Linked DNA regions of Saccharomyces cerevisiae S288C. Changing the gene in region 1 together with any one later gene gives a genetic interaction. Each region holds a gene or a part of one and is shown in the gene's direction. Other genes may lie near its edges.

Evidence for each region.
Region 2: mutations in SOH1 (region 1) and SWC5 together harm fitness more than expected from each alone (negative genetic interaction), as found in Saccharomyces cerevisiae (5 studies listed by BioGRID, with this or other methods).
Region 3: mutations in SOH1 (region 1) and SAC3 together harm fitness more than expected from each alone (negative genetic interaction), as found in Saccharomyces cerevisiae (6 studies listed by BioGRID, with this or other methods).
Region 4: mutations in SOH1 (region 1) and MED1 together harm fitness more than expected from each alone (negative genetic interaction), as found in Saccharomyces cerevisiae (5 studies listed by BioGRID).

The regions. Positions count from the first base shown.
Region 1 is NC_001139.9:268,203-274,896, reverse strand, and holds SOH1 (mediator complex subunit SOH1), read left to right. Parts: upstream 1-4,121; coding exon 4,122-4,505; downstream 4,506-6,694. Other genes in the region: guanine nucleotide exchange factor MON1, read left to right, coding at 1-117; methylenetetrahydrofolate reductase (NAD(P)H) MET13, read right to left, coding at 575-2,377; SCS3 (Scs3p), read right to left, coding at 2,758-3,900; U2-type spliceosomal complex subunit CWC23, read left to right, coding at 4,753-5,604; mitochondrial 37S ribosomal protein mS29 RSM23, read left to right, coding at 5,822-6,694. UniProt on the Saccharomyces cerevisiae protein: Component of the Mediator complex, a coactivator involved in the regulated transcription of nearly all RNA polymerase II-dependent genes.
Region 2 is NC_001134.8:679,349-686,682, reverse strand, and holds SWC5 (Swc5p), read left to right. Parts: upstream 1-3,592; coding exon 3,593-4,504; downstream 4,505-7,334. Other genes in the region: ARC40 (Arc40p), read left to right, coding at 91-1,245; DAD3 (Dad3p), read right to left, coding at 1,422-1,706; telomere maintenance protein PBP2, read right to left, coding at 2,014-3,255; COQ21 (Coq21p), read right to left, coding at 6,121-6,321; OM14 (Om14p), read left to right, coding at 6,633-6,643, 6,741-7,134. UniProt on the Saccharomyces cerevisiae protein: Component of the SWR1 complex which mediates the ATP-dependent exchange of histone H2A for the H2A variant HZT1 leading to transcriptional regulation of selected genes by chromatin remodeling. Involved in chromosome stability.
Region 3 is NC_001136.10:765,598-776,282, forward strand, and holds SAC3 (Sac3p), read left to right. Parts: upstream 1-6,279; coding exon 6,280-10,185; downstream 10,186-10,685. Other genes in the region: GIR2 (Gir2p), read left to right, coding at 109-906; ENT5 (Ent5p), read right to left, coding at 1,139-2,374; peptidylprolyl isomerase CPR1, read right to left, coding at 2,915-3,403; DNA-directed RNA polymerase I subunit RPA14, read left to right, coding at 3,928-4,341; YDR157W (uncharacterized protein), read left to right, coding at 4,334-4,735; HOM2 (aspartate-semialdehyde dehydrogenase), read left to right, coding at 4,760-5,857; SSY1 (Ssy1p), read left to right, coding at 10,566-10,685.
Region 4 is NC_001148.4:683,930-689,664, forward strand, and holds MED1 (Med1p), read left to right. Parts: upstream 1-1,968; coding exon 1,969-3,669; downstream 3,670-5,735. Other genes in the region: HOS1 (histone deacetylase), read right to left, coding at 1-424; SPE3 (spermidine synthase), read right to left, coding at 627-1,508; YPR071W (uncharacterized protein), read left to right, coding at 4,243-4,878. UniProt on the Saccharomyces cerevisiae protein: Component of the Mediator complex, a coactivator involved in the regulated transcription of nearly all RNA polymerase II-dependent genes.

The DNA.
Region 1 (6,694 bases):
ATTGGAAATAATGGGATTGTTGACAAAAGGGTTTTATTCAAGAGTGCGAGAAAAGTAGCTAATTGGTGTCAAAAACACGAGTCGAGACTATTTATAAGTGATGGGGCCGTGTTTTAACTTGTGACAGGGAGGTTATTTTATTATTTTTTCCTTTAATTTGTAAATATATCTATAAGAGTATATATATATATATATATAGGTATACATACATGTGAAAATGTAAGTACTTTTAGTGTTCTTCCTTTTCGAGTATGTTGAATATGAAGAGAATAAATAAATGAAGGAAGAGGGTGTTGAACTATTTTAAAGTACCTTTAAAAAACTTTGTTGAAAGTATGAGAAGAAATGAAAGGATTTTCCTGAAAAAAAAGAAGGGGTGTTAACCAAACACATGTTGAAATGCTAGTTAAAAAAGAATGGTAAAACAATGGAAAAGGAAGGAGCAAAATCTGGTAAAAAAGAAGAACCATAATAATAGTGAATAAAAAAAAAAAAATGCAATGTAATGTTGAATGTAATGCAAAGAGGGGGGGTTGACAATTCTGTTAAAGAACTGTTATCGTTGTCTGTGTTATTATAGGCTTAGTAGGATGGAATGGATTTGATCATCTGGAGAAATGTAGTCATTGTCAACAATATTGACCAAGCAGTAATCGTCAATCAAGGACTGAATGAATTGGGCACTATGCGGTTTATCGTATTTATTCATGTTTAGTTTCCATTCATTCAAGATATGATAGAACTCCTCCTTCCACGCTAAGAACGAAATTTTCTCGACAATGGTAGGTTGAAGAATTTCTCTGCCGGGGAAAATACCCCAAGTCACAGCGTTGGACTTGGAGTTGTCTGGATGATTACTTAGCAGGTCACCTTGAGAGTCGATGGCGAAGTAGGTCAAGAACTCATTGTTTTTCAAGGTGTCAATCAACTTGGGCAACTTAGTCTTGGGCAACATAAATTCCAAATATTGCTTCTGGTAAACGTAACCATCCTTGGGTCCCCAACCATGAATTTTGTCATTGGACCTAATGCCGTTGACTTGAGGTTGAGAGTTTATAGTGATGATAGAATGCTGGTTCAGCTCAATCAAGTGTGCTTTGATTGGATTTATTTCATCATTGATGGGGATATCACTCCAAGGTAAACACTTCAAGTTTCCATTCAAGTAGTTGATGACCAAGAAGGCGACGTCGTTGATGGAAGTAGGGGTGGACCATAATTCGAGACATTTGTTCGCTGATTGCCTGATCAAGTCTGAACCACACAGATCCAAGTCACCGAACGCAGGAGAAGACGAATCACCGAATCTACCGTTGGGGAATTCGTCCACGGCCCATTGAGAGGTTCTTGCGACATAGGAGTAAGGTCTTCTCTTCCAGAAGATAGGTCTGACTTCCTCGTTTTTACGCTTTGGATTCAAAGATTTTCTCCATGGCAACACGGCCAATGGATGTGCATTGAACTCTGATTCCGTAGGTAGAATGTTCAATCTTTCCAGAATCATGAGAGGCGCTTTTTCCAAGTTCATGGTGTAGATGTGCAAGTGAGAAACGTAACCACTGTCGAGCAATTTTTGACACATTTCCACGATCAAGTTAGTTCCGATATCACGGACCAACTCGTCATCGTCCTTGATAGGATCCAATCGGGACGAGAAATGTTGAGGGATGGAGATTTGGCCCCATTGGGCCCTTCTCAAGAAGGCCGCGTAGGTAGTGATCGGCATGATCCCGGGAATAATGGGCACGTCCATGCCCGCAGCTCTAACTTGGGAACACCAGTTGATGAAATTATCAACATCGTAAAACATCTGAGTGATGATGAAGTCGCCGCCGGCGTCGATCTTCTGCTTCAAATACTCGAGATCAAGCTTCACGTCTTTGTTAGGCAACTCCGGATGGCACTCCGGGTAGCCGGCAACGCCGATAGCGAAATGGTCACCGTACTTGGACTTGATATACTTAATCAAGTCCTTGGCATACTGGAAGCCACCTTCAACGGGAGTCCAGTTTTCTGCGTCCCTAGGAGGATCTCCTCTCAGCGCTAGGATGTTCTGGCAACCGGAGTGATAAGCGTTTTCTAAAGCGTCGTCAATCATCGAAATGGGCATATTGGTGCAGGTAAGGTGCATGCACGTTTCCAAACCAAGCACAGACTGCGCTGTCGCAACCAAGTCCGTGGACAGATGTGACAACCGTCCACCGCCTGCATTCCAGGTGATGTCAATAAATTGGGGCAAAGAAGCCTCGTACATCCGGTCCATCCGGTCATACAGGTTCTGTACACCTTGTGTAGTCTTCGGGACGAAGTACTCGAATGAGTAAGTGGGCTTGCCAGAGGTCTGTCTATGTTGCTCTAATTTTTCTGTGATCTTCATATTGCGATGTGGTTGTAGTAGTAACTGTGGTGGTTCTGTTTGCTGATAACTTTAGTTTAGGGAGACTATTTCAATCAAGGGGAGCAAGGCAAACTACACGAAACACAAGCTGTGGCATTAGCTTTTCCACGAGCGAAATATCACCTTTTTTTTTCTACTTTTCGTATATATGATATATATACGTATATATATATATACATACAAACATATATATATATATATATATATCAAATTTTGGAAAAATTTGAGTCAAAGTTGCATATGCAATATTCACAGTCTATAATCCGAGGGATAGAATGACTAAACGACGGCCCGCTACCGGGAGAAAAGTCGCTGTTATTTTTTCAGTCGCTCGTGGTCTATCGCCAACTTTTCCTGAGTCATACTGGACGTAGCGCGGCTGCGTCGCGAGCGTAGACAAGGCCTGTCACTATGTACGCAGCTAGCAATCCAGACATGTGCTCACGTACGGTGTGGAAACGGGACGCCACCGCAGTCAACAGCAGCTGCCATAACCACGTGACCAATAGCGTCAGCAGTATGATTACTGGGTGGTCGCATGCTATGCATCGCGTCAAACGGAGCAGGGCGGCCGCGCACGTGACAGGCGGCTCGACTATCGCACGCCACAAACGGGCGCCACAGGTCATTGAGCCGCCGCCACACCGCCGCCACGTCCATAGCGGTCCAGTGTCGAAAAGGCGGGTCACCAATCGTACAAGCTGCCATTTCTGCGCGTACAAGTGAGCCAGTGCACGACGCCCAAACACACGTAGCTCACCTAGAAGAAACATGCACATCAAGGTGGCCAAGAACACGTGCCCGGATGGATCGTGTCCTCCAGCCCAATGGCCTCCAAAACGTCTGCACTGTGCCGAGGTGGTTAACGGACCTTGCCACCTGTGCATCTGGTCATGAATAAAAGTATTGATGGCAGCGGCAGCGCTGGCCGTTACGTTTTTTGGGGTTTTCGGTTGCGTCGCCTGCAGGGCGCCCTGGATCGACCCTATGGAGCGGTCCCAGAGTTGTTGCTGACGGTGTTCTTGGTGGTGTCCGTGCAAAGTGAGGACATTGTGAATGAGCGCCAACGCGCGATTAGTCCGGGTGACAGAACCCTGGAAGTCTTCGTTCACGTGACCTGCATCATCGAAGACGTCATAGTGACAATGGCCACCCGTATATACGAATACCAAGTCCATGATGGGGCCTACGCCAAACCATATACCTTGCGTGAATACGTACCACCACACTGTCAGTATGGCATACCTTTTGAATGACTGGACAATGTGTCTTCGGTCTCTGCCGGTTGCCCCCGGCACCGCACGGTAGCGTATAATACACCACCATCCGACCAAGGAAGTCCAAAACCACCCTTTCTTTACCAACATAGCATTTACCAGACCATCCTTATTCAGGGTTGCTTGCAGCGCCGCACCGTAGCCATACGCGTTCATGAGATATCCTACCAGTACCGTCAACGGGCACACCAGTAGGTGTATAGCATTAAACCATTTGCTAGACATTGTTGTAATATGCCGTGCTTTATAGCTGGTTTCAGTGGAGTTTTAGGCGTTTCCCCTTTGGCTTTTTTCGAACAGTTCGTTTTGTATTTTATTTCACGGTTTTCCCGCTAACGTGTTCTTAAAGGATGAAAAAGAAAAAGAAATGCAGGAAAAATGAGGCAAAGTAAGCCAAAACTTATAGCACTCATAAGACGGCAAAGTTCCCCCAAGCTCCACCCAGGATGTCAAGCACTAATGGAAACGCACCAGCGACACCTTCCTCGGATCAAAATCCTCTCCCCACGAGGTTCGAAGTGGAGCTCGAATTTATCCAGTCACTGGCAAACATCCAATACGTAACGTACTTACTCACTCAACAGCAGATCTGGAAGTCTCCTAACTTCAAAAACTACTTGAAATACCTGGAGTACTGGTGCAACCCCCCTTATTCGCAATGCATTGTGTATCCAAACTGTCTCTTCATTTTAAAGCTGTTGAACGGGTTCATGGAGTCGGCGATCGTTAATGAAGATGGCCTGCTGGAAGGGCTAGACGAGCTGCCCAAGATCATTCAATTACAAGGCCCGCAATGGATGAATGAAATGGTAGAAAGATGGGCCAACTGAACACACCTAATTATAACTACATTCGCACGCATTCATATATCTATTTTATACACTCATGAATATATATACACACACACACATATATATATCACATATATACATATATATATGTATATATATATGCAAGCCGCATTACTTTGTATTTTCTTTCCTTTGTTTTCCTTGCATATTATCTCGCAAGACATTAGAAGATGAAAGCAAAATCAAAAAGCAAGTCCATCGCCGTACTACAAGCCTCGCCACGACTATGCCAGGACACGAATTGGAAGACGTAATAAATCAACGTTTGAACCTATATGATGTATTAGAATTACCGACCCCCCTGGACGTCCATACCATCTACGATGATTTGCCCCAAATTAAACGCAAATACAGGACCCTTGCCCTGAAGTATCATCCTGACAAACACCCGGACAATCCATCAATTATACACAAATTCCACTTATTATCGACCGCAACTAATATCCTCACCAATGCAGACGTGAGACCCCATTACGACCGCTGGTTAATTGAGTTCCTACGGAAAACAAACGACATTGAAAGAAATAAACTTATACAAAAGCTGGAAGAATCTGAATCGAGTACGATACCCACCACCACACCACATCCTGATTTATTGCAAATCCAACGCCACGGCGAGCTACTCAGGAAACTAAAACATTTCAACTTGCCCTATGGTGACTGGAAACATCTCAACACACAAGACCAAGAAAATGCTTCGCAACATCCGTATTACGATTGCTCTACTTTGAGAATTGTCCTTGACAACTTCCTGCAATCAAATAATAAATCAAACTGCTTATCTCATTTGCGCAATCAAGTATTCATCACGCTAAGTGCTAATGAAATCTACGACATCTACTTCTCTGAAAGAAACAACTACTCGAAGGATGATTCAATCATCATATATACTGTATTCGATACTCCCATCACAGCGCAGCACGTATTCCGAAACTGGTCAAGTGGGAACCTCATACCCACGGTCAAGGATATTTCGCCCTTGATCCCGCTACATTACTACTCTGATTTTAATTTGGAGACGGAACTGAATGACGATATTGCAAGACTGGTCTCTAATGAACCTATCCTACTCGACTAGCTTGCACATATGTATGCCTGTTTTTCTTTATCCTATGGAACACTATATTTTCCGGGGCTTTCTTACAAAACGGAAGAAAAAGAAAAGGAAACTCAGCAAGTACTATGTACAAGAATATATATATATGTATATTGTATATATACATCAACTTCTATACTTCGAGGGAAAACATTAACAAGAGAACAAGTACAAGCCACGTGGTATACGTATCAGAATAATGCTACGTATGTCAACTTCAAGATTCATTGGGCAAAGGCTGTTCACTACGGCACGATCTCTCCAGGCTGCTAAACCGGCACCAAAAGGTAAAACTCAAGGATTTTCCAAAAAATCATCTTCAGTCTCATCTTACTCATCTGCAAAGAGAGTTACTCCTGGTTCATTGTATAAAAACTGGACAAACACCACGCACACCGCTCAATTACAACAGACCGCCGTTCCTTTGGCATTACCTATCTTCAACTTTGATGATATTTCCAAGACTTTGAATAAAGTAGTATCATATTCCAACAAACAGTACAAATCCCTTCACCATTTGGGTTCCTTCAAGAAGTCGCAGTTCAATGAACTTTTTCAAAAACCGGTTTGTCTAGTTCGTGAAGATGCAACGAATAGCTTTTTGAAGAAACTAGTATCTCATCCTGTTAAAAAATTTATAATCACTGGAGAGCCAGGGGTCGGGAAAACTGTACTACTCTCTCAAGCGCATGCATATGCAGTTGATTCCAAGCAAATCATTATTAACATATCATATCCTGAATTATTCCTGAACGGTAGGAATGACTTTTCTTATGATGATGATTTAAAGCTTTTCATCCAACCGATGTATTTGAAAAAGCTTATAAGGAAAATATTGAAGGCAAATGACCCTGCATTGTTAAAATCTATTGAGCTATCCAAAGACTACAAGTTCTCGAATGCAAACCCAAAGAATGCCTCTGTAAAACCATTTGTCACATTAAACAAAACGAAAAATACAGTTTTAGATTTGTTATCCGTAATGACCCACCCGCATAATCGTGGAAAACTAATGAAAGCCATTATTGATGAGTTATCTGTCCAATCCAAGGTGCCAATCATGTTTACAGTG
Region 2 (7,334 bases), on another chromosome or scaffold:
CAATCTTGATCGAGAAAGCTTCCAGATTAGAAACAAAGAAAAATAGGAAAAATAAGCCGAAGTAAACGTATATTAGTTGAGAGTCTCCTAATGTCATTTTCCAATTCTAAAGACAAGTCCGTTGTTGCCGTCTACAAGCTGGTCAAAGCGCCAATCTACTCTCATTGCTTTTCTCAAGATAAATCTATTTTAGCCGTTACATGCGAAACAGATTGTCTTGTCTATAGAGTTTCAAACAACACACCTCCCGTTTTATTCGCAACGTTGAAAGATCATGATAAAACCATTACTGCTGTGGACATTTCCATACATGGTCGTATTGTGACTTGCTCCCAAGACCGTAATGCTTACGTTTGGGAGCCATTGAGTGATGGGACATACAAGCCCACGTTAGTACTTCTTCGTATTAACAGAGCAGCTACTTCAGTTACATGGGCACCAAATGGTTATAAGTTTGCTGTTGGGTCCAGTGCTAGAATCATCGCTGTTTGTTATTACGAACACGAGAATAATTGGTGGGTATCCAAGCACATCAAGAAACCCATCAAATCTACCATCAATTGCCTGTCTTGGCATGCAAATGGAGTCCTATTAGCTGCTGGTGGTACTGATGGGTTTATGCGTGTGTTCAGCGGGTTTATCAAGGGTTTGGATTCCAAGGAATCCGTCGCCGGATCACCCTGGGGCCAGAAATTCCCTTTTGGTTGTTTAATCAGGGAGTGGTATCAGGGTTCTTATATCCATGATGTGGAATGGAGAAGTCAGATGGAAAGAATTGCTTATGTAGCGCATGATGGTACTTTGAATGTTGTCGATTACCAATCTCCAGTGCAATCTGTCAATGCTCCGGAAGGTTTACCTTACAGGTCCTTAGTATGGATAAACGACCACGAGATTGTTTGTGGAGGATACTCTTGTCATCCGGTATTGTTCAGCGAAGCCTCTGAAGGCTGGAAATTTGCGAAGAATCTAGACAAATCAGACAATAACAAGTCTTCTGCCTTAACTGCATCTGGTAATACAGACGAGCTGAGTGGTAATAATGATGAAAGTTCAACTTTCGGTATTTCCGCATTGAGAAAGTTTAAAGAATTAGACTTGAAAGGTAAAGTTAGCACAGATGTCCAAGAAAGTGCACATGAAAACGCCATTGTGGAATTAAGACCTTTTGCGGAATCCAACGGCCAAATCACACAAGTCTCTTCCTGTGGGTTAGACGGTAAGATCGTCATTTATACAATTTAAATATACATACGTATATATATATATTGTTATGTGTATTCCCTACCTCATAATACACCTTGAGTTTGTATTGTTTTTTTCTTCACTTGGCATATACAGACTATATTATTACAACTCACAGCACAATGTAGTGTACCGTAAAAAATAAAGCATCAGAATCAATTTCTTGCACCAAACCATTATTTAGAATTGCTACCCAAAGACTCCTGTTCTTGCTTTCTTTGCAAGATAAGCGAGTACACGCTACCTTTTAGCAGTGTCCCAACTAAACCAATTTTGACCTCTATGTCCCTCATCTCCTGTAGTATCTCATCTGGCGATACAGTTTCTTGCTGTGAATGCTGTTGCCTGTGTTGCGAATAGTTTAGTTCTTTTATAGTTTCATCCAGAGCTTTTAGATCTAAAGAAAGCTGTTTGTATTTGTCCAATACTTCTTGCTGTAAAGGTGAAAGATTGTGTTCCATACTGTGACTACAACGCCGTGTATGTTTCACAGCGACTTTGACTGGCTACTGTAAGCTCTTCTTTTGTATTCTTTGGAATAGTTTATTTACATGTAATTACTGTAATAGCGCGCAGCCGAGCTAAAAAAAAAAAAAATACAAAGCTTTTGATCAATTTGTTACAAAGAGAAATAATTCCGCGTACGTATTTCTATTGATATTTATATATCTACATTCATTCAATTTATTACCTTTTCTTTTATTTTTTTTGCCTTTTGTAGTTTCTGTATTTTTATTTTCTATGTGTTTTTATTGACTAGCAGTATATTTAGAGGGGCGACCTTCTTTTACGTTCAGCATTTGATCTATCAATTTCAATTTTATTGCTAATCAACATAATAGCAGCTTGGGACGCCATGAACGTACCTCTTATGGTAAGTCTTCTCTCCGAAGAGCCTTCTACAGGATCTTGTATAATAATTGAACAACCTGTGGATTCCTTGACCGAATTTATGTGCTTGCCATCTTTGCCAATGACATTTCCGACAAATTTCTCATCTATGAATATCTCTTGTTGTACAAAGTTCATTAATAAATGGTTGCCGGGTGCCGGACTGATAACAGGGCCGTCTAAGACTGTCACATTAGGGATAACGAAGTTCGGTTGAAAGGCCGTTGCGTTTGCAACGCTAGCAGTAGTATACTGCGGTGTGGCCATACTCAACAAAGTAGATGATATTGGTAAATTTTTGTTGGGTTTGTATGAAAGTAGTTTATCGCTTGGATGATATTGGTGGTTTCTTTGATGGAAAATGGTGTTCGGTTGGCTATGGTCTATTAATACTGAGTTAAACTGAGTTGGCTGATAGTATATGGACCTTTTCACATTTTTCTGCGGAGATTCCATCTGAAAGTTTAGCAATGTTTGACTAATGTAGAAAGTAGCAATATGGATAGCATCCGGAACCCCGTTAATGGTTAAAATTCTATCGTTAGAAAGCAGCAATTGATTCGGGGACGCGAATAATTTTGCTGCACTCAAATCCTCAATTTCTCTTAACCGAGACCCACGTTTGCCAATTATACATCCCATAAGATGATGAGGGATCAATAGGTTGATAGAAATCTCAATGTCTTCCCCGTTATCTTCGTTACCATGTTCTTCAAGCAGCGCTCTTACTATCATGCCGTATGCCTTGGCTACATCATCGCAAGTACCCCTCACGTAAACAATTCTTTCAGGAACACCTCTGATATTATTTGATATGTTTATTCTAGCAGAGGTTTCGGATTTTATTCTAGATATAGTGGCGCCCTTGTGTCCTACTATCAGTGAAGCGTGTTTGACTAAGCACAGCATTCGTAAATGTACATCAGAGGGAACATTGTCGGGGGAATCGTGGTCGTTGTCAGAGTGGCTGTCTGCATCCTTCAGGGCCACGCGTTTGATTTCTGCTTCCAGTTGTTCCTCGCTGGTGTCTTCACCCTTTTTCCTTTTGAGCGTGTTGGGAGAAACGAGTACAGTAGTTGGTGTAGTAGTGATTGATGGTTTTGTAGTCTCTGTGGACATAATTGAGCTAAAGAGTATTACAGAAAGATTATTTAATGCCGCGCTGGACGATTAAAATTGTTAGAGTGGATGTGGCTATGGATAAGTTTGAATATGAAAAAGGTTACTTATGCGGCTAACGACTAGGTGCGTATTTATCGTTTGACGAGTATGTACGTGTTTTCTTTTGTATCATGATATTTCGTGTAAGTACCATATCGGGGAAAGACAAAAAAAAGTGAATTAAAGAGCGAAGTTTAAAGATGATGAATAGGATTAATCGACAAGTAAGAAAAAAGACGAAAAGGCGTAAACTGGAATAATATTGTTTCAAGAAAGAAAACCCACTAGCCTATAAATGCCAGAAGTAGAGACAAAGATTATACCAAACGAAAAGGAGGACGAGGACGAGGACGGCTACATAGAAGAGGAGGACGAGGACTTCCAGCCTGAAAAAGATAAATTAGGTGGTGGTAGCGACGATAGTGATGCCAGCGATGGCGGTGACGACTATGATGACGGTGTGAACAGAGATAAGGGTAGAAATAAAGTGGACTATTCGCGTATAGAGAGCGAGAGCGGCGGACTGATCAAGACTAGAAGAGCTCGGCAAGCTGAGGAAGAATATGCGAAAACACATAAGTATGAATCGTTAACTGTTGAATCGATCCCTGCAAAAGTAAACAGCATCTGGGAGGAGCTACAGGAAGCTAGTAAGAACCGTCTTTTGAGCAGTTCAGGGAAAGTCGGCTCTGTTCTCGACGGTTCCAAGGAGGCTAGGTCGACAACGGCCGCGCAACAGGAGGACAAAATCCTCATCGAAAGAAACTACAAGTTTGCTGGTGAAACTGTCCATGAGAAAAAATGGGTTTCACGCAGCAGTGCGGAGGGTCAAGAATATCTAAACAGTTTGAAATTTAAGCAGCAGGCGCCTGCTGCTCCTGTTCAACTGGAAAAAGCAGTTAGGACCAAGTCCAATGAAAGCCGGCAACACTTGCGACGGCCACTGAAAAGGCCTCCATTGTTGGAGCAGATCATTTCTGGCGGGCTACGACCCAAGCTAACGACATTAGAAAAATCTCAGCTGGACTGGGCTAGTTATGTAGACCGTGCTGGACTTAACGACGAATTGGTGCTGCACAACAAGGATGGGTTCTTGGCCCGGCAAGAATTTCTGCAGCGGGTCGGGTCTGCAGAGGACGAGAGATACAAAGAATTGCGCCGGCAACAACTTGCTCAGCAGTTGCAGCAGGATAGCGAAGCTTCATAGACAAATATTACATGTATTAAATAACATGCTTTTCTGCTCAAATTTTTTTAACCGCCGAGGCCTGCACACTTTCACTACGTGTATAACGATGCTGCAGACAAAGTAATGGGGTGTATGGGTGTGGGTGGCAAAAAAAACCTAGCAACGCTCTATGTTTCTTTTCTTTTTTCTTTCTTTTTTTTTTTTTGCCGTTTCCGATGGGCCACTCGGTGAAAACATATAAAAAGGGCTCTACATTCATTTTTTCATCGATGAGTACTTTACTTGTTATCAGATTTATTCATTTTGTTTCTACTTGTTTTTTTTTTAAATCCCCACGAATCTCTTTGCCTTTTGGCTTAGATCAAGTGTAGTATCTGTTCTTTTCAGTGTAACAACTGAAATGACCTCAATGAGGCTCATTACCTTTTAATTTGTTACAATACACATTTTTTGGCACCCAAAATAATAAAATGGACGGGAAGAGACTTTTTAAGCAAGTTGTTTTCCGCTAATGTCAGGTCTCACTACTTTTTGCTGCTATTTTTCTTCGCTCATGGTTTCTTCATAAGGCGTTTTTATGATGGTTTTTCGAAATTGGTTTTTGAGACGACGGTTGCTCAAGGTTATTGTTTTTGTTTTCTTCTGGTTGTTTTCTATTTTCTTTTTTTTAGCTTTCTGTTTCTCCCTTAGTTTGGCTTTTTGCTTCATACTCTTCCCTGTCTTTCCGAGCCGTTTATGTCCAACGCGGGATTTGGTTTTTCTTTATCGATGGGAAGAAATGGTGCTATAGTAGGTTGGGAGATAATATTTATGGTATGGGGTGCTAGTGCGGATGGGGCGCTCTTATTGTTGATTTCTTCGCTCGTCTTCTTTTTCTGGTGGCGCTGCAAGAGGAAGTTTTTCGACTTTGTTATGATTTTTGGTTTGCAAGGAAAGGTGTCTTACGATTCTTTTTTTGATGTAATAGGATAAGCTTGCTTATCCCCCAAGTATCGGCCAAAGTTGTTGATTTTCCTTTTGAAGTGTCCTCGGTTTGAGGGGGTGTAGGGTGGGGTTGGTCTACAATAAGAGTGTTCCATTGTTAACGTGCTGGCGTCTTTTACTATATTTTTTTTCCCAGTTTATTTTGTGCTTATTTTCTCATTGAGGAGAAGGAGCTCTTCTCGCAGGATATAAATGGAGGTTTGCTAAAGGGGAGGAGATGTGTTTGTGAGAATACTGCTGAGAGAGTTCTGGAAGAGAAAAAAAGGAGGCAATGGAAGGCGTTTGCTGGGAAAAGAGAAGAGCCATGACTGCATCTGTTGTTTCAAGGCCAGTTTTATTAACCGCCTATGTCATAGAGGCGTTTTTTTTGGAGGGATTTGAAGAATGCCGGCGGCATCAAGAAACGGACTTGATGGTTGACGCCTGTTTTTAAAGTTAGAGACGTCGCGACCCTCGCACTTGTGGAGTCGTTCTTGACTTTTACTTTGGTCGCTTGATGTTTCTCTCGTCTTCCCGTTCGCTCTTTTATTTTTTTATTTTTTTTTTCCTTTGACTTCGCATGAATGAGTTCATTCATGAAGCGAAAGGAGAGATTCTATATACCACGCAACCAAATATGTAAGTATATAAAATATATGTATGTGTGTGCACTAATTGGCGGCATACTCTTTCTTGACCCGTTGTGATAGGGCCTTAGCTGCTTCCCATTGCCTGTCCCGAGTCCAGCGACTCAAGACGTTGGACGTGCGCACGTACTCACACATGGCCGAATTGGCCCTTACGAATGAGCTCTTGGCTACCCCTCTTGCTGCACTCGCCACACACCATAACTGGTATAATTCGTTTCTCATGCTAGTCTCTTTTTTTTTTTTTACTTGTTTCCTTTTCCTTTGTTGCTTATCCGCTTTCTCGTTCTCTCCTCTGTTCTTGCCTCAACTCCTCAAATCTCTGCTGTCCCACTTACGTTTTATTTTTTCACCGTCCCCTTTCCCTGCCCTACTACCCCGGGCCAGCGGCCAATGACGCCGCCGCTACCTCCTCTCCCGTTAATCGTCCCTGCGTATATAAAGTGTCGATCAATGTGCCCACTTCAACCGAAACCGCCGACGTAACCCTATTCCAACAATTAGAAACATAACATCTACCTCCAGCATCTCATAATATGTCTGCAACGTATGTACACTAATATCTGAAACGTATCGCCTAATCTTTTCTCCCGGTTCTCTTTTGACTAACGTATATCATCTATGACCATCTTTCTTTTCCCCAGTGCTAAACACGACAGTAACGCTAGCCCAAATTCTGACTCTGAAGACGGTCACCACCACAACAATAAGAAGGAATGCGCTATCGAATATCTGAAGGCACGGTTAAATAGTGCATCAGCAGTCGCTTGCGGCTACCTCCAAGCTTTTGTCAGTAAGACGCAAGACTTTGCCAAAGTATGCTTTTTAGAACTTCAGAATCCCGTTGTCTTGGTCAACTTGTTGCTGCATTCTTCAGTGGTATGTTATTTATGTAACGGGTATGCGAACCACAACGCCAGATTCTTGAAGGGGAAACCTAACTCTACAGTCTTAGCAACAACCGCCGGCGCTCTGGGTCTTTTGACGCTGGACGGTATAATTTCAAAGAAATACTACTCCAGATACGACAAGAAATAATAACATACTATTTAATAACATCCTTTCACACACTCACACACTCACACACTTTATATACATATATTTTTATAACTATTACTGCTGATTTATTTGTAAGGAAACGTGCTTTCCTCTTCATCGGTCAAGTGATAAGTTTCTATAATATAATAGCTTTTCTGTCTACTATCATTCTTTTTTCATTTCAAGTACCCTTAATTTGT
Region 3 (10,685 bases), on another chromosome or scaffold:
AGCAGGCATCGTTAGATTGGCTTTAAAGAGCTGAGTTTCCCATGCTGTCGGTTGGTATAATTTAAGGAAAAGCCCTCCCTCCATATCCAGAAGGCACTTGTTAATACTATGGATTATAAGGAAGAACAGAAGCAGGAACTAGAAGTTTTAGAGTCCATTTATCCTGATGAACTGAGGATCATAAACGATGAATACCCAAAGATTAAATTTGAAGTAGCCATTAAATTAGAGCTGGATACAGGTGATTCTACTTCTGTTTTAACCAAAGAGCACACTATAATCGCCGAATTCAAGTTACCAGAAAACTACCCTGACGAACCATGCCTGATTTCATTGGAAGCTCAAGAAGTAGCCCTCAATGACAACGAAGAAGATAACGAGGAAGATGAAGACGAGGTTGAATATGACGACCATGGTAATAAAGTACTGAAAAAGTTTGAAAACCTGCCAGATTTAATAAGCTTTAAGGGGTACTTGCCTGAATTAACCGTACAATTAGAATCGCAAATCGAAACCGATATGTTATTGGGTATGCAAATGTGTTTTGCATTGATTTCATCCATAAAAGAAAGATGTGAGCAATGGTATAGTGAACAATTGAATAAGCTCGAGAAGCAGTACGAGCTGGAAGCACAAGAACGTGAAAAGAAGGAACAGGCCAAGTTCCATGGTACTAAAGTCACAAGAGAATCGTACTTGGAATGGAGGTCTAAATTTCGCCAAGAACTGAAACTGGATGAAAGAGACCAGGTGAGAAGGATGAAGGCTCATCATGGGAAGCTAACCGGTAAGCAAATGTTTGAACAAGGCGTGGTGGGCACAGGCGACGAGTATATGGAAGAGGATGACGCGAGTGTAGATGACGTAGCCAAGGGACTTGCCAAGACCGAAATAGCAAATCAATAAATACTTGTGTACTTAAGTATTTAAGTATTTTCTTCTGCATGGATAATGACATATACAAATGTATCTATATAATATTTTTTTGATATTCAATAAAAAGAAAACTGACATTTGAAGAAGGAAATAGACAAGTTTTTAGTAAGATATTATTAGTGTATATATGGATACATATATCTGAGAATGAAAATTTGTTGACTGTATTGAATGTATTGGGAGATGAAGGGGTATTTGGTGATTAGACCAACGACTTGGAGTAAGAGAATAAGTCGGAAAATGCATCATTTCCCTTCGACTTGTCCTTTGTAGCCTGAGGACGGGCTTTTTGCTGTTTTTTCTCCGCAAAGGGCAATGATGTTTGCGCAGCAGCGGTGGTATCTGTGTCTGACTTTGGGCCATCCCAGTCAAGCAAATCATCTATTTTACTATTGGAAGTTTTAGGTGCTGTTGTGTCGGGACTCGTTTCGCTTTGGAAGTCGCCAAACTCATCATCATCATCATCACTATTGCTGTTGATATTATTGTTTTTGTTGTCATTATTACCATTGTCTATTGTTATATTATTCGTGGTGCTAGTACTATCGTCAAGATCGATTAAGTCAGGGATGCTATCTTGTTGTTGCTTTCTTTTCCTCTGCTGTTCTTTATTTTTGATCTGCTCTCTTAATATCTCCCTTCTTTGTCTTCTTTGTTCTTCCATATGAGAACGCCTGCGAGTATTCGAATTTGCTTCTGTTTCCACAGGAACATTGAAGTTGGTCACATTATTAGCATCCATTTCACTGTCAAAGCCATCTGCATCTGCATCAAATTCATCGTCGTCGATGTTATCGTAACTTGCAGACGTTGAAATCTGGTTGGCATTATAAATGGAGGATTCTCCTTGCTGTCGAATTTTCAAGGCATTCTTCTTATTCTTGGCTCTTTCCTTTTTCAAAAATTGTGAGTCTTCCAAGTATTGCAAGATAAGTTCTCCCTTTTTCCTAATACCTCTCTCATGAATCTCCATTTTACCATCATTGGAGAATTTTACCTTGAATTGGGCAATCTCCCTGGTTAAAATATGCTTATGAGTGAGCAAACATGATCTAATCTGATTCAGTTCGTCACCTGTGTCGACGTTCAATAATAGGAATTCAATGACTACTAGACATTTTAAGACCACCCTCCATTCGGACCCATAATTAACGTAGTCCTTTCTTGCCTTTTCGTATAGGTTCTTGGGCCTGGTAGCGATATGGTCGACTAATCTTTTCAACGTGTATTCTGTCATCAAGTAGAGCGGCACTTGGTATCTGTTCCTTAAAACCTTGGCGAGGTGCTTCGGTGTGGGGCCCCAAGCATCGGTATTTGTAGCACGACGGATATCTATCTGATAAGGCTCATATTGGACTATCACGTTTTGGGCAAACCTTGCGGCATTTCTAATATCATGGATACCTAAATTTTGAATCTTTTTTGATAATGAGTCCATTTTGTATGGTGTTGGTATTTATGCAATTGGAACGTTTAATTTGTGTATATGAATTTCCCTTCCGATTTGTATATTGGATAGAAATATAATTTTTTAAAAAAAGTAAACTATAAGCAGCCTGGAAAGATAAGCTAGACCAATTCTTATTGATAAAAAACTAAAGATAAATTCAACCGAAAACTAAAATCTAGATTGAAATTAAAACAAGAATGAATGAATGGATCAAAGGACCTGAATATGAAAAAAAGTGCAGGAGAAAGAAAATTTTCTCGCTGTGGAAAATAAGCCGAAAATCCGTTACCTAGAGGAAAGAAAGAAACGTGGGAAAAACAGGGGGCGGTACCCGGCGGCGTCAACTTAACAGGCATAACCTAGGCGGTAGTTGGCTAGTTGGCAAGCCTGGCAACATACTCCGATATAGGTAGGAAGAGTTAGTTATAAGAATTGATTGTCATACATACACATACCTTATACATATACATATAATTTAAGAGAGAATAGTTCGTTTCAATTTTTGCTGTATTGTTCCAGGCAGAGCGGTTATAATTCACCGGACTTGGCAACAACAATTCTAGCCTTGGTGGCACCGGAAGGAGAACCCAAGGACTCAACCTTCTTAACGATGTCGTAACCGTCAACAACTTCACCAAAGACAACATGCTTACCGTCCAACCATGGGCATGGAACGGTGGTGATGAAGAATTGAGAACCGTTGGTGTTTGGACCGGCGTTGGCCATGGACAACAAACCTGGTCTGTCGTGGTGCTTCTTGAAGTTTTCATCTGGGAATTTGCCACCGTAGATAGACTTACCGCCGGTACCGTTACCAGCAGTGAAGTCACCACCTTGCAACATGAAGTCTGGAATAACTCTGTGGAATGGAGAGCCAGCGTAGCCGAATCCCTTTTCACCGGTACATAGAGCTCTGAAGTTTTCTGCAGTCTTTGGGACTATGTCGTTGTACAACTTGAAAACGACACGGCCAATTGGTTGGCCATCAGCTTCGACATCAAAATAGACTTGGGACATGGTAGTATTAGCGGTTGAGTTTGGATTGAGTTGAGATATTAAATTCAAGACAAATCTTAATATAACCTATCTAGCGAAAAAGGAGGAACAAATGATGACGACAGTGGCAAAAGGATAGAAGGCTCAAGAGAATACGTTTATATTTATACAGGGAATCGAACAGACACTTGTCAGCGTAAGCCCAACCAAAGTGAGAAGGGCCACGGCCATTACCAGAGACAGAAATGAGTGGAAGCGCGTGGAAGCCCGTCTAGCAGAGGAAGAAATTCGAGACGAGGCGGGACGTGGCGGGCTGGGCGCCCCAGAAAATACCGTAGAGGACGAGGGGGGCGGTGGAAACCCCTAAGGGGCGAAAGGCGGGTAACATCTAACAGCGACGGGTAAGCATATTGCGGGTGTAAAATTTTTCATTTCGAGCTTACTTCAAGATGATGCATATGTTTAAATCACATTGATTATAGAGGTCTCATCGGTAAGGCAGAGCAGAACTGGAGACGTCTGAGGTAAGATTTCGATAATACAAGATGATGAAAGGTTCTAGAAGAACAGGTAATAACACTGCTACCACGCTAAACACGCCTGTGGTCATTCATGCCACGCAGCTGCCCCAACATGTCTCTACTGACGAGGTTCTTCAATTTCTGGAGAGCTTTATCGATGAGAAGGAGAACATTATTGATAGTACTACCATGAATACCATCAGCGGCAACGCCGCTGACGCGGACGCTGCCGCTGTGGCTAACACCAGCCTCAACATCGACACCAACCTTTCCAGCTCCATATCGCAATTAAAGAGGATTCAGAGAGACTTCAAGGGTCTGCCACCCGCCCAAGACTTTTCCGCCGCGCCCATTCAGGTCTCCACGACGGAGAAGAAGGAGACAAGCATAGGTGTTAGTGCCACCGGCGGCAAGAAAACTACATTCGCCGATGAGTGAGACCTGTAGCAGCAGCCTTGCCCTTTTACACAAAATCCTACATATCCATTCACATACGCCTTCTGTATACTACAATATATGCATATCAGTTAGAATTCTGACATCTGAACGTCTTCAGTGCTTTTTTTTCTCTTTCTTTCCAGATCCAAATATCACCGGCAGCGGCCTCAAAGTACCCGGTTTTCTTTTTTTTCACACTTTTTTTTTTTCCAAATCATGTTGTCAAGCATTGATTGACTCATTTTCCTCTGACTACTACCAGTTCAAAATGTTAGAGAAAAATAGAAAAGCAGAAAAAATAAATAAAAGAACCATATTTATTTGTTCATTCACTTTCGAGTATAAAATTAAATCTTGTTTTTCTTGTTTTCACTTAAGTACACATACAAATTAAATTGTAGAAATAAAGCGTTCTAAAATGGCTGGAAAGAAAATTGCTGGTGTTTTGGGTGCTACTGGTTCCGTTGGTCAACGTTTCATTCTGTTGTTGGCAAATCACCCTCATTTCGAACTGAAAGTTCTTGGTGCCTCTTCTAGATCAGCTGGCAAGAAATACGTTGACGCTGTGAACTGGAAGCAAACCGATTTGCTACCGGAATCTGCTACCGATATTATTGTTTCCGAATGTAAATCTGAATTCTTTAAAGAGTGTGACATCGTCTTTTCCGGATTGGATGCTGACTATGCTGGCGCTATCGAAAAGGAATTCATGGAAGCTGGTATCGCCATTGTTTCCAATGCCAAGAATTATAGAAGAGAACAAGATGTGCCATTGATTGTTCCTGTTGTCAATCCTGAGCATTTGGATATTGTAGCTCAAAAGCTTGACACCGCCAAGGCTCAAGGTAAGCCAAGACCAGGGTTCATTATCTGTATTTCCAATTGTTCCACTGCAGGTTTGGTTGCACCATTGAAGCCTTTGATTGAAAAATTCGGTCCTATTGATGCTTTGACCACTACTACTTTGCAAGCAATCTCAGGTGCTGGTTTCTCCCCAGGTGTACCAGGTATTGATATTCTAGACAATATTATTCCATACATTGGTGGTGAAGAAGACAAGATGGAATGGGAGACCAAGAAAATCTTGGCTCCATTAGCAGAAGACAAGACACACGTCAAACTATTGACTCCAGAAGAAATCAAAGTCTCTGCTCAATGTAACAGAGTCGCTGTTTCCGATGGGCACACCGAATGTATCTCTTTGAGGTTCAAGAACAGACCTGCTCCATCCGTCGAGCAAGTCAAGACATGCCTAAAAGAATACGTCTGCGATGCCTACAAATTAGGCTGTCATTCTGCTCCAAAGCAAACTATTCATGTTTTGGAACAACCAGACAGACCTCAACCAAGGTTGGACAGGAACAGAGACAGCGGTTACGGTGTTTCCGTTGGTAGAATCAGAGAAGACCCATTGTTAGATTTCAAAATGGTTGTCCTTTCCCACAACACCATTATTGGTGCCGCTGGTTCTGGTGTCTTGATTGCCGAAATCTTACTAGCAAGAAACTTGATTTAAGGAAAAATTGCAAAGTTATGTCTTCATCTTACTTTTTTTTCGAACGAACAAAAAATACAAAACAAGTAAATAAGTATATGTGTATGAATATACGTATAATAATTTGAAACGTAGATCTTTATTATTAGTTTCTTGAGTTTCGAGAATTCGTGATTCAATGTTCATTATTTTTTCTTTTCTTTTCTTTTCAATAGTATAATACCAAGCCTTTATTATTTTTCTTCCACTTCAAGAAAAGGTAATTCTCTCGCTGACCCAAGAAAAAAGCTAAACAGAGAGCGTAGTGATGCATACAAACAACTCATTTACATGGGAAAAAAAAGGAGAGAGGAAAGCAGCAGACATATCTCAAAGCTGGGATACACTCACAATAGCACTGTTGGTACTCATTTCAGGTAATACTCTTGGAAGGTATCCCTTAAATGAACACATCATTTGGCTCAGTAGTGCCTTCCACTAATTTCAATTTTTTCAAAGGGCATGGAAATAATGATAACACTAGTGCCAATAGTACTGTTAACAACAGCAATTTCTTTTTAAATAGCAATGAAACGAAACCTTCGAAAAATGTCTTCATGGTGCACTCTACCTCTCAAAAGAAGTCGCAGCAACCGTTACAAAATCTCTCACACTCACCTTCCTACACGGAAAATAAACCAGATAAAAAGAAAAAATATATGATAAACGATGCCAAGACCATTCAACTTGTAGGTCCACTGATTTCCTCTCCTGATAATTTGGGATTTCAGAAGAGATCGCACAAAGCAAGAGAATTACCAAGGTTTTTGATTAATCAAGAACCTCAATTGGAGAAAAGAGCTTTTGTACAAGATCCCTGGGACAAGGCTAATCAAGAAAAAATGATCTCATTGGAAGAATCCATAGATGATCTCAATGAATTGTATGAAACACTAAAAAAAATGAGAAATACTGAGCGATCGATAATGGAAGAAAAAGGGCTAGTGGATAAAGCTGACTCAGCAAAGGATCTTTACGATGCTATAGTATTTCAAGGTACCTGTTTAGATATGTGTCCCACATTCGAGAGATCAAGAAGAAACGTTGAATATACTGTGTATTCATATGAAAAAAATCAACCAAATGATAAAAAAGCTTCTCGAACTAAAGCATTGAAGGTCTTCGCGAGGCCAGCAGCAGCAGCAGCTCCTCCTTTACCTTCTGATGTTAGGCCACCCCATATTTTAGTCAAGACATTGGACTATATTGTAGATAACTTATTAACAACATTGCCTGAAAGCGAAGGATTCTTATGGGATAGGATGAGATCCATAAGGCAGGACTTTACATATCAGAACTATTCAGGACCTGAGGCGGTAGATTGTAATGAGCGTATTGTTAGGATACATCTTCTGATCTTGCATATCATGGTGAAATCAAATGTGGAATTTTCGCTTCAACAAGAACTAGAACAATTGCATAAATCCCTTATCACGTTATCAGAAATATACGATGACGTTCGTTCCAGCGGCGGAACATGCCCAAATGAGGCTGAATTTCGAGCTTATGCTCTCCTGAGTAAAATAAGAGACCCTCAATACGATGAGAATATCCAAAGATTACCAAAACATATTTTCCAAGATAAATTAGTTCAAATGGCTTTATGTTTCAGAAGGGTTATATCTAACTCAGCTTATACTGAACGCGGGTTTGTTAAAACTGAGAATTGTTTAAACTTCTACGCAAGGTTTTTCCAGTTAATGCAATCACCCAGCTTGCCATTATTAATGGGATTTTTTTTGCAAATGCATCTGACGGATATTAGATTTTATGCGCTAAGAGCTTTATCACATACTTTAAACAAAAAGCATAAACCAATACCATTTATTTATTTGGAAAATATGTTACTCTTTAATAATCGGCAAGAAATAATTGAATTTTGTAATTATTACTCAATTGAAATCATAAATGGGGATGCAGCCGATTTGAAAACATTGCAACATTATTCTCACAAATTGTCAGAAACACAACCTTTAAAAAAAACATACCTTACCTGCTTAGAAAGGAGATTACAGAAAACTACTTACAAGGGTTTAATTAATGGCGGTGAAGATAATTTGGCTTCTTCGGTTTATGTGAAGGACCCAAAAAAGGATAGAATACCTTCTATCGCAGACCAATCTTTTTTAATGGAAAATTTTCAAAACAACTATAACGAAAAGTTGAACCAAAACTCATCCGTTAAACCACAGATCAATACCTCTCCAAAAAGAGTTGCAACGCGGCCCAACCACTTTCCTTTTTCACAGGAATCTAAGCAATTACCTCAAATATCTCAATCTCATACTTTATCAACAAATCCTTTATTAACGCCACAGGTTCATGGAGACCTATCGGAACAGAAACAACAACAAATTAAAACCGTCACAGACGGAGGCTCCCCATTTGTTTTTGATCAATCAGCACAGAATTCTACGGTGGAAGCTTCCAAGGCTCATATGATATCCACGACCAGCAATGGTGCATATGATGAGAAGTTGAGTTCAGAGCAAGAAGAAATGAGGAAAAAAGAAGAACAACGAATAGAAGAAGAGAAAACTCAATTGAAAAAGAAGCAAGAAAATGCGGACAAACAAGTAATCACTGAACAAATTGCAAATGACTTAGTAAAAGAAGTGGTAAACAGTAGCGTGATTAGTATTGTTAAGCGTGAATTTTCAGAGGCTAATTATAGGAAGGACTTCATTGACACAATGACCCGTGAACTTTATGACGCATTTCTTCATGAAAGGTTGTATCTGATATATATGGATTCTCGTGCTGAATTGAAAAGGAATTCCACTCTAAAAAAAAAGTTCTTTGAGAAATGGCAAGCATCTTATTCTCAAGCAAAGAAGAACCGTATATTAGAAGAAAAAAAAAGGGAAGAAATTAAACTCGTAAGCCACCAATTAGGAGTACCAGGTTTTAAAAAATCTACATGTTTGTTTAGAACCCCGTATAAGGGTAACGTAAATTCATCATTTATGCTATCATCTTCAGATAAGAATCTAATATTTTCACCTGTAAATGACGAGTTTAATAAGTTTGCGACTCATTTAACCAAGATTTCAAAACTTTGGCGGCCGTTAGAGATGCAATCAATCTATTATGATAACCTTACGAAAAAGTTCCCCTCCAATTCTCTTACTCCGGCAAATTTATTCATTTATGCGAAAGATTGGACATCACTCTCAAACCGTTGGATCTTAAGTAAGTTCAATCTGCAAACAGCACAGGATTCAAAAAAGTTCAGCAATAATATTATCTCTAGCAGAATAATTTGTATTGATGATGAATATGAACCATCTGATTTTAGTGATTTGCAATTATTGATATTTAATACAGGTGTTACGAATCCAGATATATTCGATTTGGAGATGAAACTGAAAGATGATGGTGAAGAACTGATAAAGCTAATCACTGGTATTTCTCTAAATACAAATATATGCTTTTCCCTTTTGATTATTTATTGGGAATCCGCAGAAAATACTTTATCGGAAAGTACCATTAAACACTTACTAAAATTAAACCGAATATCTAAAAACTATAGTAGTGTTATTGAACGCATTGACTTAATGAATCTCACCGAAGAATCCCCTCATAAGTGTTTAGAGGACAAATTATCTGAAATATCACATTCTTATGTGTACAAGTTGACAGAAAGGGGAAAATATGATAAAACACTTCGTCAGAAAAGGTCATTGGCCGGCATTCACTCACGTAGCACTCAACTACAAACTACAAAGGACATTGATCAAAAGATGAAGAAAATGCTGGAAAAAGAGAAAAACAAGTACCAACAACAAATAGGCGAAAGGAACACCTATGCGCATCTAGAATCGCATATAGATGCATCACCAAGAAGCAAGAAAAGGAAATTGCCAATACTCCTGTCAACTTCTCATTCGAGCCAATTTAAAACTCCTCTAGCTTCTAGATTAAACACCTCTGGTTCGTCTACTTCACCACCTTTACCATCTCATTTGGCGATGAAATTCAGGAAAAACTCGAGAGTTACTAGTTTACATACCGTATTACCCGTTAGCACACCAAGCCATAGTAATAACATACCAGCTGCAAGTTTTAGCGGGAATAACACCACCGATATACAGTCCCAACAATTAATCGAAAACCAGAAGAGTACATCTGTATATTTGAATAACGTTTCTGAAAGGATTCTGGGAAATCAAGAAATATGTCAAACACCAATTAATCCTGTTACTCCTGTGCTAGATGGGGCCGATCAAGGTAAGGAGGACATTCCTGATAGTATATTAGAGCTGAAGATCTTGATCGATTCTGTCAAGAAGAAAGTAAATAATGATTAAAGCATTTGTAATATATAAACAAAAGAAATGTGCATTTTTTCTATAGCTTTAGGAAAAGTATTTGATAATCACCCATTTCTTATTACTGTCGGCGTGCCATCCTTTTCTCTAAAGCTCGGCGGAAGAAAAATTCAATAATTGTGCAAAAAGTGAAGCCAGGGTTGCAAATACAGAGTTATATCAAAAGACCTACAGAGTATACATACACGTTCTCAGGGAAAAGTCTTCTGATATATTAACTTTACACATGCATTGCCTATCATAATCATATACTGTTGAAGACTAATAGAAGCATCTCTAGGGGAAAAAAGGAAACAGGCGTGTGATAAGAGGCCAAAAAGTTATAAACTGCTTAAAAATAGGGAAGTTCCTTGAGGAATATGAGTTCTGTCAACCAAATATATGACCTATTTCCCAATAAGCATAATATCCAATTTACAGATTCTCATTCACAGGAGCATGATACTTCGTCCAGCCTTGCTAAGAATGATACAGACGGA
Region 4 (5,735 bases), on another chromosome or scaffold:
TATTAATACAGTCCATATTATTTTCGAGCGCTTGTGAGTGATTCAGATAATAATTATAGAGATTCTCTCTAGTGGTGAATCTCTGAAGATCTTGCGATGGATTGTAGTCGATTTTTTCGTTCCAATTATCGGCCAATTCACTCAACTCACTCCATTTGGACTCTACCATGGGATTATTTACATCTTGTGCCATCATTTTATTGAATCTGCCATTTATCAAATAATCGATATATGATTTCGAATGGAACTCCAGCAGATCATCCTTTCTGGCGTAGGGAAATGTTAGCACTTCGTCAAAGTGCTGGAGAAGATCGTACGCGTTTATTAGGGAATATGTCAGCTGCGATTTTTGATGATTGTTACATGGGAGTAAATCTGCTACTTGAGACTGAAATATTGACGTTGATATGACCAATTTCGACATAGCGTTTTTCTAAAATGGACAGGTGTTTATTAATTCATATTACAGTACATACACCTTTTTTTTACTTTTTGTTTCTTTATTAATTTTTTAGTTTTTTTCATATTCTATTTTATTATAAGTAGTAATATGAAGAAATTTCCCAAGCAAAGCTCAATAAAATTATTTAGCTAAACAAACATATGCATATATATGTATATTCTCCCTAATTTAATTCCTTGGCTGCCCAGGTTGGTAGAACAAAGGAAGCTTCGTGAATTTTCTTGTTATAGTATCTGTATAATTCAGCCTCCTTCTCATCAGAGATTTCACGTAGTGGCTTCTTGACATTGCAAGTTTTATCTTTGGAGCAAACCATAAAACCAATCGTACCAGTTGGGTAAGTTGGAATAGTAACGAAAGAGTATTCTGCAACTGGGAAAACTTCAGAACAGGCTTTCTTTAAGTCCTTAATGATTGGCAAGTGAATCCACATACTTTCTGCTTGTGTAGTGATTACACCCTTTTCTGTCAACGCACTGTTCAACAATTGGAAATATTCCTTTTGGAAAAGGGTTTCAGCTGGACCTTCTGGGTCAGAAGAGTCAGTAATGATTACGTCAAATGTGTTTTGGTAATCTCTTAAAAATTGGAAACCATCACCAATGTGGGTCTTAACCTTTGGGTGAGAATAAGAGGCAGCCATTTCTGGTAGGTACTCCTTTGATAGTCTAATAACAGCTTCATCAATGTCACATAACCAGGCTTCCTCAACGGAATCATGCTTGACAACCTCTCTCAAAACACCACCATCACCCCCACCAATAACAAGAACCTTCTTAGGATTTGGATGGGAATTCAAGGCAAGATGGGCAATCATTTCTTGGTAGGCAAATTCATCCCTTTCGGTGGCTTGAATTACATTATCTAAAACTAGAACATTACCATATGTAGTGGATTTGAAGATCAAAACGTCTTGATATTTTGACTTCTCATGGTGTAAAACTTTCTCCACTTTTAAAGTCATGGCCTGGCCTGGCCACATGGTATCAGAAATTTCTCTGAACCAGCCGTCTACAATAGTTGGGTGAGTGATTTCTTGTGCCATTAGATTTATTGCTTATTAGTGTTTGCTCTTCTTGACTGAACTACTATGTGAAGCGTACAAGATACTAAATTACTAAGTCAGTTTTATATCACAGCTATTCCTTATCTCATGCCAATAGCATTTTTAGAGAAAAAAATGAAAGGTGAAAAAATTTTTTTTCTCAAGCAAAGAAATGAGGAGTTCCTGAAATCATGCAGGTGCAGAATATTGGTGTAGAGAATCGCGTTTGTATATTGTCTTAATCCTGTACTTACGAGTAGGTATTTGATGTTTTAAAAATTGCAAATGTACTTTTTGCGAAATCTTGCAACATTTTTTTTGTCAGGATGTAATTGCAACTAATTAATTTTTCAAAACTTAAAATGAAGGTTACCTATTAAGGAACGTTTGTGTTTGAAAAAGAACTCCTAATCAAAAGCAAAGAAAACATAGAACAAAAGCCAACAAAACTCTTTTGGAGATGGTAGAAGGAGACTCTTATGTGGAGACTTTAGACTCCATGATTGAATTATTCAAGGATTACAAACCTGGTTCCATAACTTTGGAGAATATAACACGACTTTGTCAAACTTTGGGTCTCGAGTCCTTCACAGAAGAATTGAGTAATGAACTTTCAAGATTATCGACGGCATCTAAAATTATCGTGATAGATGTTGACTACAATAAGAAGCAAGACAGAATTCAGGACGTTAAACTCGTACTAGCATCTAATTTTGATAATTTTGACTACTTTAACCAACGAGATGGAGAGCATGAAAAAAGCAACATTCTTCTAAATTCCTTAACAAAGTATCCTGATTTGAAAGCTTTTCATAACAATTTGAAGTTTCTATATCTGTTAGATGCATATTCCCACATCGAGTCCGATTCTACCTCCCATAATAATGGGTCTTCTGACAAAAGCTTAGATTCAAGCAACGCATCATTTAACAACCAAGGTAAACTTGATCTTTTTAAGTATTTCACGGAACTATCACACTATATAAGACAATGTTTCCAAGACAATTGTTGCGACTTTAAAGTCAGGACCAATTTGAATGATAAATTTGGAATATATATTTTAACCCAGGGCATCAATGGTAAGGAAGTGCCTTTAGCCAAAATTTATTTAGAAGAAAACAAAAGCGATTCACAATACAGGTTCTATGAGTACATATATTCACAAGAAACCAAATCTTGGATAAATGAATCTGCTGAGAATTTTTCTAACGGCATTTCCTTGGTTATGGAAATAGTAGCAAACGCTAAGGAAAGTAACTATACAGACTTAATTTGGTTTCCTGAGGATTTCATATCACCGGAACTTATTATAGATAAAGTTACATGTTCATCAAACTCATCTTCTTCGCCACCTATAATTGATTTATTTTCGAACAATAACTACAATAGTAGAATACAACTGATGAACGATTTTACAACAAAATTAATCAATATTAAAAAATTTGACATAAGTAATGACAATCTAGATCTAATCTCTGAGATACTAAAATGGGTTCAATGGTCGAGGATAGTACTTCAAAATGTTTTTAAACTGGTCTCCACACCTAGTTCAAATTCAAATTCATCGGAACTTGAACCTGACTATCAAGCTCCATTCTCCACCTCGACTAAAGACAAAAATTCTTCAACATCTAACACTGAGCCAATTCCAAGAAGTAACAGACATGGAAGTGTAGTAGAGGCCTCTAGAAGAAGGCGTTCTTCAACTAATAAAAGCAAACGTCCCAGTATAACTGAAGCAATGATGCTTAAAGAAGAGGGTTTACAGCAATTTAATTTGCACGAAATTTTATCTGAACCCGCAATAGAGGAGGAAAATGGAGACAGCATCAAAGAGCACTCTACAACTATGGATGGTGCCAATGACCTCGGATTCACCGCCTCTGTTTCGAATCAAGAAAATGCAGGAACTGATATTGTGATGGAAGATCATGGTGTACTGCAAGGCACTAGTCAAAATTATGGTACTGCAACAGCGGATGACGCAGACATAGAAATGAAAGACGTCAGTTCTAAGCCTAGTAAACCTGAATCGTCGGTCTTACAACTAATTGTAAGTGAAGATCATATCATTCTCGACACTATTTCAGAATGTAACTTGTATGATGATGTAAAATGCTGGAGTAAATTTATTGAAAAATTTCAGGATATCGTTAGCTAAGGAGGTACGGAGTGGCTCAAATACACATTGTGGACCGTACACTCGATGGAGTTTAGGTTTACGTACACCTTCTAGTGCAAGGTGCATGCTTTTCATACCTCATATGACTGAGTTTGTTTAGTGTGGCCTATATTCTAAAAAAGATAAACGTTAGAATAAATGAGCTTGCGAACTGAGCCATTTACCGGTCATTTGCCAATATATATAATCAAGGACATCTCTATCATTGTGAGAAATACTAAAAATGTAGGAAAAAGGTTAAAACAAGAACCACTAACACGCTAGATAGGTAGATAGGTAGGTAGGAGGAGGTCGATATTATTACTGCATATATATATTTTTTTCCATTCTGCGTTTTCTTGCTGCAGCGTATTTATGTATCAAGATCCCGGGGCAGCTGTAAGTGTACTGTCTAGAAAATAAATCAGCAGGCCGCTTGCTACTTCAGTAAAAAAGAGAGTAGAAACTGGAAATTTTTTTGGCAGTCAAAAATTTAATATATAAAAAAGGCCCTTTCTGTTTTAAGTGCATTTATTAAATGTTTCCAGTTCCAAGACGATTGGCAACGGAATTATGCAAAACGGCACAGAAGACAAAAGCAATATTCCTGCTCGTAGTAATGATGATGTATTGCCGCCGTTAGCCGTCAGACTTACTATGAAAGTAATGCGATTAATTTTCATCGGAAAAATGTTTGCATATTCATTTGTACCCTTTCCCCCATTTAAACTTTTGACATTTGATAATACTGTGGGCTGGTTCGTAGCATATTCAGCGATCGTTTCTATTTGGGGGTTTGCTGTGTGGATGGAAAGAGGATATAGACATAAGATTAATCTACTGCCTCCAAGATGTACGAAGATAAGATGCTCTCGCTGCAATACAAGAATAAGATCCCCCAATTGGTTCAAATATAAGAATTGGTTATATTTTTTCCTATTATACGTTTCTCTAACCACTTCTAACTTAATAATTCAACTGGCCTCTTTTATGACAGAAATGAGTCGTCGGGGTATAAGCGTTCCTGGAACGAAGGATCCAGGCAAGAGAGATTATTTAGGGCTTATCATACCAATGCGATTCATTGGTGCATTTATCCATTACATGACGGCTAATTTATTCAAAGAGTATTATTTACATAACGGCCCACTAGAAAAGAATGATAGACCTTCTACCGATGAGAAGACATCAGAGAATGAAACGCTATAGCTTAACCTCGATTAAAATTAAGTTCAGTATGCCATAGGTGCGTTTATTACATGTTTTTTAACAACACTTCAATATTTCTTTCTCTGTATTTTTCAATAGGGAACAAAATGTACTATTTTCTCCATGAGGCCTGAAATAGCAAATGTACTCCCGCAGTTAATAAATGTACGGACAGCTTTTCATAGCCAATTAAAAGCAGTTTATATCTCTTTCCTAGCGGATCACATCTAATGGTTGTCCAACTTCCCTTGGATTAAGAAATAGGTGAATAACGGGATAGTTTTTGAGGATCCATTATTGATAGAGGTTATAATTTTAGACAGGCAAAATATTCTAGCACTTCTCGAGGGCATAGGCATCCCTAAAAGGGAATCAATAATTTTACATAATGATATTACCATATCTTTTATACTTTCTTGAGATCTGGAGAATTTTGTAAAATTGTTGGGATTCCATAGTCGATAATATTATATATACAGAATATGCTAGAAGTTCCAATCATTACACTTTAACTTCAATAAAAAATTTGGCGACTACTTCCCAATCTTTATGTCATCTTCTTGCATCGTATATGACAATATGTAACAGTAATATGAATAATAGTCAAAAAATAATATATAATATTCATTCCAACACTCTTAGTGTCCCTAGCTAGAATTACTTCTGCTAGTGAAACACTCATCATCAATATAAGGAAATTAATTTTAGTCAGATGTTTTTAATACCTTCCGTTTTCTAACACTACCAGATTATTTTGGGCACTATGGCCGAGTGGTTAAGGCGACAGACTTGAAATCTGTTGGGCTCTGCCCGCGCTGGTTCAAATCCTGCTGGTGTCGTATTATTTTTTGAAATTA